Macaca mulatta: one gene and its partner. The protein of the gene in region 1 purifies or fractionates together with the protein of each later gene. This does not show direct contact. Links are inferred from orthologs where the notes say so. Each region holds a gene or a part of one and is shown on either strand. Other genes may lie near its edges.

Region 1 (3,804 bases):
CCCAAAGTGCTGGGATTACAGGTGTGAGCCTCCATGCCCAGCCTTCAACAATGATTTCTATTCCTTCCTAAAACTCAGAAAATTTTTTAAGACTTAAAATGACAGGCACTTCTAACGCAGGCCAGCAGTTAAATAAATCATTAGGCTAAAAACAGAAGTGCCAACGTAAGTACAGCTTCCTAATTTGTTGATTGATGATATAATTTACAGCCACTTTACAACAAATTGTGAACAAACAACATTTCTCTAGAGTGAGTTACATATATTAATGATTTTCTATGTTTAAGTTCCTTATATATTACAAAAAGTGTTTACTTCAAAACAAAGCATGAGGGAGGGTCAGGAAGCAGACAGCGAGCAATGGGGACAGGAAATGAATGGGTGAACCACATAGAGACCCAGAAGAGGCAGCTGGAAATAACTTTGCCAGGCAGGACTGGACCATGTATTGCTCACCAGGAGGCCACAGAACTTACTCAGGTAGGTGAAGACAAAAACTGAGGAGCCATATCTCAAGAGGAATTCTACCTTAGGCTACAGACCAAGCAACTGAGTTTGGCATTCTCATATTATTTAAGAACAAAAGCCAGGATCACAGACTGGGGCAATGACTATCAGAATAAATGGTGGAAACGGTCTCACATTGGTTATTTTTGTGAAGAACAATGGCTTCCATGCTTGACCTGGCACCAGCAAGAAAAGCAGGAGAGTGGAAGGATAGGGAGGCGCTGGGAAGTCTGACACCATCTGCAGCAGATCAATCCAGCAAGCAAAGAGGGCCAAGAAATGGGATCACTGGCGACTTGCCAGGAAAAAGAAAGAACTACATGAGAGGACTCCGAACCACCTTGGAGTCATATTGACAAAGGGCTCATGAGGTGATGAGCACTGGAACTGCCATTATAAAGCCAGGGAAACGTGGACCCTTGCAGACAAATGTGGCTTTTACCAGGTACCTCAATCTTTCTCCCCAATCCTTGTCCTCAACTCCGCTTCCTCAAGCAGCTCTCAAAGTGAGAGTCCTGTCTTCCCTGCCTGTGGGTCTGGCCATCATCCCGGTTACCTGGATGAGCATCTTGCGCAGGAAAGGCATGACAAACGCCGGGTTCATGCTACTGAGTCGGCCCACAGTGCAGATGGCCAGCTCCCGGATCTCAAACACCTGGTCATTCAGAGCCACAAACAAGGCCTGCAAGTTCTCCGCCTGGGCCAGGTGTGCATCAAAGCGCTCGTCCAGGGATGCCAAGACACAATAGCGAATGTCAGGGTCTGCAAGAGCAATGGAGCCTTTGAACATTTCTTCATGACCCCATCACTTTAGCCCTTCCCAGCTTCCACCTCCACTGCCATCAGCGTAGTGGGAAGATTCCAGATGCTTTCTCTCATCTAACCTCTGTTACTCTTTTCTCTACTCATAGGAGTAAAGACAAAGAATTAAAGGCAGATTATCTTACACTAAGAGGCTAGAGTAGCTGCGCCTAACACGCCTTGGCAGAGAAATAGCTGAATATCAGCTTGTTGAGGCCGAAGATCTCTAGAGAGGCCTTTCATTACGTAATGAAACTGGCTACTCGCAACTGCCCTAAGCTCCTTAACTCCCCTAGATTGCTTCTGTCTGGGAAGCCTTACCAGGATCTGTTATCCCAACCACGAGCAGTTTGCTAAGCACGTCTGCCACCACTTGCACTGCAGTCTGGCTAACCACATGAGCATGGCCACTGATGAGGTGGATGGAGGGCGTGAGCAGGCGGGAACAGGTACGGGCAGCCTCCATGCGGATCTCCTTGTGCTCACTGTTTAGAAAATGATCCGCACAGTGGCGAACAAATTGGGTCAGAGAGTGGCCTGGATAGAAAGGCAGAGAGAAAACAGAATAAACACTGCTGCTGCAGACAGGTAGGTCTGCAGCTTGCTAGCTGAATTTTCCATTTTGAGGCTACTAATTCTACTTTCAACCAGATATTGATCAATAAGATACTGACTCAGAACTCCTTTTTTTTTTTTTTTTTTTTTTGAGACGGAGTCTCGCTCTGTCACCCAGGCTGGAGTGCAGTGGCACGATCTCCGCTCACTGCAAGCTCCACCTCCCGGGTTCACGCCATTCTCCTGCCTCAGCCTCCCGAGTAGCTGGGATTACAGGCGCCCACCACCATGCCCGGCTAATTTTTTTTTTCTTTTCTTTTTGTATTTTTAGTAGAGACAGGGTTTCACCATGTTAGCCAGGATGATCTCGATCTCCTGACCTCGTGATCCGCCCGCCTCGGCCTCCCAAAGTGCTGGGATTACAGGCGTGAGCCACCGCACCCGGCCTGACCCAGAACTCTTAAAGGGTAACAAGGGGGCTTTCAATCAGCAGAAAGGCAAAAGAGAAATAGAGAAACCACAATAGAGAAACCACAGGTGGCTGTCTCCAGACAGCATGTTCAGGCTTTCTGTACTTGCTTGTTTCTCTACAGTCTTGACCAATACTACCTATATGATCTTAAATTTCAAAAGTATCAACTTCTCCTCCTGAAATATATCTCTGTGGGGTATTATTGTGGGTTTATTTGCAGTTTAGAACTACACAGTACAGTACTTTTAGAAATCATACCGCCAGCCGGGCACAGTGGCTCATGGTTGTAATCCTAGCACTTTGGGAAGCCGAGGCAGGCAGATCGCTTGAGGTCAGGAGTTCCAGAACAGCCTGGCCAACATGGTGAAACTCCATCTCTACCAAAAATACAAAAATTAGCTGGGTATGGTGACACGCACCTACAGTCCCAGCTACTCAGGAGGCTGTGGCTGGAGAATCGCTTGAACTCAGGAGATGGAGGATGCAGTGAGCTGATATTGTGCCACTGCACACCAGCCTAGGCAACAGAGAGACTTTGTCTCAAAAAAAAAAAAAAAAGAGAAAAGACACCATACCACCATAGACATGGAAACACCCAAAAGCCCCTGCTTATACATTTTAAAGCATTACATATCATCTCAGCTACAAGGAGGTGAAAAAGTGGGGACATGAGGGGGATCTGTCTCTGCAGCATTATTTCCTTGGATCAACGTATACTTTCCCTCAAACGATCTGCCCCCAAACTCAGTATGGGACAAAGAAACAAACAGGAATTACCAATATATGGAAAGAGTCTAGGAAGGATGAGCTGCTACAGAATCAGCTACCCTGTCTCTGGGATCACAGCAAGATCCAGGAAGTCTAGATACTTTCATTCCTTTCCCAAAGTTTCCAGCAGCTCTCACTACCTTGCCAAGAGACATTGTAATTTCTTACCTTCAAATTCAAAGCTGCCAAGCGTTCGGAGGGCAAGAGTGATGCTGCCCACATCGCTGGCCTCAGGGAGGGTTGTGAGGCCAGGAGAGGCCAGCTGATGGGCCAGGCCCTTGGGCATGCCTGGGTGGCGGAGTGGTTTGTGCATAAGGACCAGGGACAGCATTTTCAGTAGCCCATCTTGAATGTCCTTCTTTAGCTGTGGAATCTGACGACTCAGGTCGTAGAGCACTGCAGTGAGGGCAGGGCTGAGGGGAAGGAAACAAGCCACATAAGGGCTGGGCACATGACACTCAGTCTGTTCTTGGGAAGAAATAGCTTTCTCTCCTAGCAAGGGGATCAGGCCTCTGTTCTTCAGAGTAGAAAGGATATTATAAAATAAGAATAAAAGTGTAAACTCTCTTGGCTTAGTCTCAGGTATCCAAACAATCTGTGAGTTTCTGGTTCTCACCACAAAAGATTTGCTCACTATAATTCAGCCACTACAGAAGACCAAGTCTCAACAAACACTCTGGGAGCAGATTTAAAACACTGTC
Region 2 (4,432 bases), on another chromosome or scaffold:
GGCCCAGACCCTGGCGACGTCCTCTGCCCCAGCCCATTCCTCCTTCCCCTTTGGCCCTGCCCTGGCCTCTGTGTGAGCCACCAGCCACGTGAGCAGGGAGTACTGGAAAGCCAGGGAGTCCCAGCAGAGATGCCTCTCACAGTAAAACCTGCACCGGGTTCTGAAGACTGAGTACAAAAAAGCAGAATGAGCCGGGCACGGTGGCTCAGGTCTGCAACCCCAACACTTTGGGAGGCCGAGGCAGGCAGATCACTGAGCCCAGGAGTTCGAGGCCAGCCTGGGCAACATGTTGAGACCCCGTCTCTATTTCAAAAAAAAAAAACGAAGAAGAAGAATCTCATCTGCTTTTTTTACTCTTTTAACATGGTGTCTAGAAAATTTAGAACTCCAAATGGGGCTTGCGTTGAATCTGCTGGGTGATGCCACCCTGCCCCATCGCCCGGCCGTCCCATCCAGAGTGTCCTGCACGAGGCCCAGGGGGCTCCTTCTGCACCCAGAGCTGATGCTACCCCTCGCCATAGTCCTCAGGACTATAGTTCTCAGCCTTCAGCCTGGCCCTGGAGGCTCTGCGTGTTCTGGCCAACGCCAGCTCCCCGGCTATCCTGCCTCCATGGCCTTCCAGAGCCTCTCAGGCCCAAGGCCTTCAGAAAACGTGGTCCCTGACCTGGATGCTCTGTTCCCCACCCACCTTTCACTCATCCTAGGGCGGAAGAAACTTTCCCTCACCCCTAGATCCAGCCAGTCCCCTCCCTCGGGGGTCCCACAACATCTGAGTGGCCACCTTCCCAGCACACTTCCTTCCAGAGAGAACTGGCTGGTTCCATGACTGAGGCCTCAGCGAGAGTCGGAGCTGAACAAAGGTAAGAAATGGTGCTGGTGCCGCTCTCTGTGCTGGGAAATCCACGTGGCTTTTTCCTACAAGACTGTTCGGGCAGGTCCTCTGTCGTCCCTCATCCCCCAGCGTGCATCAGATGCCTTCCAGAGCCCATCTGATGCTGTGGGCTTCCTCCATGAGCATTCAGGTCACCAGAGCTTGTGACAGCTGTACCCTGGCTGCCTCCTGCATCAGACTGTGAATTCTCCCAAGGTCAGGGATTTGTATTCACAGGACAGGTTGGCCCTAAGCAGACAATGCAGGGTGCATCTCCTTACCGGGTGAGAAGAGCGAGGGTAGGGGGGCCGGGTCCTTGCCCTGACTCTGTCTCAAACCTGCTGTGTGACCTTGGACAGCTCACTGGCCCTCTCTGTGCCTCATTTTCTTCCCCATTAACCAGAGTGGTTGAGCCAGAGCTGCTGGGCTGTGGAAGAGGCTCCTTGGGGAGGCAGTGAGCACACTGCCACTGCAGGGATTCAGGCACAGCTGTGGTCCAGCCCACCAGGGTGAAGGGAGCAGGGAGTCTGGAGTTTGAATGAAATTTGCAGGCCCTTTATGACTCACGATCATAGATATCGGTGTTTGCTGAGCACCTATTCAGTGCTGGGATTCCACACCTGGCATCTCACCTCCCATCTGACTCACTCAGGGAGTTCAAAGCCCCGAGGGAAGTAAGAGGTTTATCCACCACTTCCCAGAAGCCACGCAACGACCCAAGATGGGATCAACCTTCTCATCCCACCCTTTCACCTACGCTATGAGGCAGGAGTTTTAGTTACAGTTCACTCCATTTTACAGTTGCAAACTCAGGCCCAGGGACAGTCAGCATCTTGAAGAGTCCGACCCCACAACTGGAAGAGGCAGGGCTGGGACCTGGACTCTGACAGTCTAGATCCAGGGCCTGCTCTAAATCCTGACCGCCATCCTGCCTGCCTTTAGGAGGGCAGATATTATAATCTAGATGGAAAAGTGAGGCTCAGAGAGCTTAGGACACTGGCAAGAAAGCACACAGCTACACAGGGCACAAGTGGGGCTGAAACCGCTGACTGCCCAGCCTCCAAAACCCAATGAACTGGGGGGTACCCAGTGTCTCAAACACACCCCTCATGTCCTTCCTAGCTGATGGAGGAAGAAACTGAGGCTCGAAGCAAGAAGTGGCCGGTCCAAAGTCAACTGCCTGGCTGTGCTAGGCCTGGGGCTCTCACTTCCATGGGCCCGCAGCCCCTAATGACATTCGGAGAAGAGGGGGAGCGGGGGTCCCGGAGGAGGACGTCAGGATGAAACTCCCTGCCTGTACTCAATCTTGGAGGAGCCACGGGATTGAAGAGAGTGAAATAGGGTGAGTGGGTTGTGAGGGTTCCCCCAACTCAGGAGACATGAGCAAAAACGACAGGCGACTTCCACAGGCCTCTCTGCCAAGGTCCAGGGGCACCTGTAATGTTACCCAACAGGAGAGTAGCCAAGACCTGGCGGTCCTCCTTACCCTTGAGCTTCTAGAGGAGGTCCTGTTTCCTCCAAGGAGCTGAGAGATGGAGGAAGAACCCGCCCCGATGGAGAAGTTTCGTTTAAGATCAGGGAGAGATGAGACGAAAGTGAGACGTGTTCCCCACAGGAGGGGGAGCACGATGTGGCTGTCCTCTTTGGATGCGGGGAGGAGGGAAAGAGCTAAGGAGAAGAAGGGTGGAACCATCCCTCCTGTCGAAATTTTAGTGCTCCACACCCCAAGATGTGAGGAACCCGAGCATGAACGCAGTAGCCACGGGTGGGGTGAGTGCCTGGGGCCAGGCTCAGCTGCCCCGAGACCTCCCAACCTCGCCCGTGGTCCAGGGAGGACCCACTGGTCTAGGAAGAAAACAGGAAATCCCGCCCAGCCGGAGGCCAGGACCGGAAGTCCCGCCTTTGGAAGGGTGAGGGGCGCCCCGAGGCCCCCCAACCCATTCCCCGACCCCGTGGACGTGGTCCACGGCCCAAGTAGAGATCCCAGGCGCTCTGGACACCGCAAGGTGAGGCTGTCTAGGATTTGCCTCAGGTCTGACAGGACGATTCCCGCAAGCGACCCCCTTCCAGCGCTCAGCAAAGGGTCGCTGGCGGACCTCTGCCCTCTGATCTGTGCAGGCCATACCCCTCCCGTGAGCCGCTCGCCCTCCCAGCGCCCCGCTGCCTCAGGACGGCCAAATCCTCCCCACACCGCGGTTCACAACGCCGCCTCCACTCACGTGCCCGTAGCCAGCATGGCCGGCCCGGCGCCGTCGCCGCCCTCAAAAGACATGGCGGCGCCTTGCGTCACGTCCGCGTAGTTGCCCCGCCTCCTCTCTGTACACTCCGCCTCCCTTATCGGGGCCGCCCGAGATCAAGATGGCGGCCACAGGGACTTCATCCGAACCAGTGGGCAATGGCGACGGCAGCGTGCCCATAAAAAAAATGGCGAAAAAAACGCTTCAGCTTTCTCGCCTAGAGCATTTCCATTTGCCCCCAACAATAATGGCCGTCCTCATACGCTCGCTCATGACCACAGCAAACGAAGGCAAGCGATCTGACGTCCCTGACCCACGATAAACTTCTTCGACAAAAGTGGAGGAAATCGGTGCTCGTTAACAACATGGCAGCCAACCGGTCTAATCAGCCCATAGTGTACATTGGCTCTCCCTCCCTCCAACCTGCTCCCATTCAGCACCAAAGCTGGCAAAGATCCAACACGGCAGCATTTCTTGCTTCGGTTTGCCAGGCTTCAAAATGGCGGCTCAGCCCGCTTTCTCGCGACGGTGACTCAGAAATTCGTTTGGGGCCGCTTCGTTTCTGGGGGCACTGACGGCTTCATCCCGTTATCCCGAGTCCCTCAGTGCCTCTTGTGGTGTACAGCTCCTCTCACCTCCTCTTCTCTTATCCGTTCGGCTCTTCCAGCTGTCGCGCCCCGCAGAGAGATGGGACACCCCCGTATTAACATGGCCTTAGCCGACCGGCTTAGGCCATGCCCTCGAGCAAAATGGTACCTCCTTGGCTTCAATTCCAGTATACAACATGGAGAAGGAAGTGGGCGTTTCGAGGCGTGCTTGCCCCAGGTGGTGCAGCTCTCAGACCCTCCCACTTGTTTACTTCGTGGTGAGAGGGAGAACACTGCGCCTGCGCACTCTCCGTAGCCGGCTCCACCTTCAGCGTCTGCGCCACGTGGCTCCGATCCACCCTCGAAGTTCCAGTGGAATATCCCCCTTCTGGAAAAATGGTTTCACCCACTCTTTCTCTGGAACTGGTCGGGGCGCTACCACTGTCCGGTCCGGAGGGGAACTGTTTTCTCCGGAAGTGACCACACGCTGACTCGGAAAAGGAGGAGGCGGGGCAGTGGGGCCTTCGGCGGCGACTATGGAAGGAGCCGGCTACAGGGTAAGCACTGAGGACGCATTCCCTCGCTTCAGTGTATGCGAAACGCCCCGTCTGGTGATGAGCTCTTCCCTCAGGCCTTGCGAGTGCACTTGAGAAACTCCGATCTCTTATAAACGCGCCGTCACCCTCCCGTCTACCGCCCCAGGGAAGAACCTCTCATGGCCCCGCCCCCCGGCTCAG

Evidence for each region.
Region 2: the proteins of MTOR (region 1) and AKT1S1 purify together in Homo sapiens (affinity purification with western blotting; 8 studies listed by BioGRID and IntAct, with this or other methods). This does not show direct contact. The link is inferred for Macaca mulatta from reciprocal best matches to the Homo sapiens genes MTOR and AKT1S1.

What each region holds. Positions count from the first base shown.
Region 1 is NC_133406.1:229,491,419-229,495,222, reverse strand, and holds part of MTOR (serine/threonine-protein kinase mTOR), read right to left. Parts: intron 3,517-3,804; coding exon 3,272-3,516; intron 1,846-3,271; coding exon 1,630-1,845; intron 1,270-1,629; coding exon 1,064-1,269; intron 1-1,063. UniProt on the Homo sapiens protein: Serine/threonine protein kinase which is a central regulator of cellular metabolism, growth and survival in response to hormones, growth factors, nutrients, energy and stress signals.
Region 2 is NC_133424.1:62,337,034-62,341,465, forward strand, and holds the start of AKT1S1 (proline-rich AKT1 substrate 1), read right to left. Parts: upstream 3,091-4,432; 5' UTR 2,565-3,090; coding exon 2,358-2,564; intron 168-2,357; coding exon 1-167. Other genes in the region: TBC1D17 (TBC1 domain family member 17), read left to right, coding at 4,232-4,252. UniProt on the Homo sapiens protein: Negative regulator of the mechanistic target of rapamycin complex 1 (mTORC1), an evolutionarily conserved central nutrient sensor that stimulates anabolic reactions and macromolecule biosynthesis to promote cellular biomass generation and growth.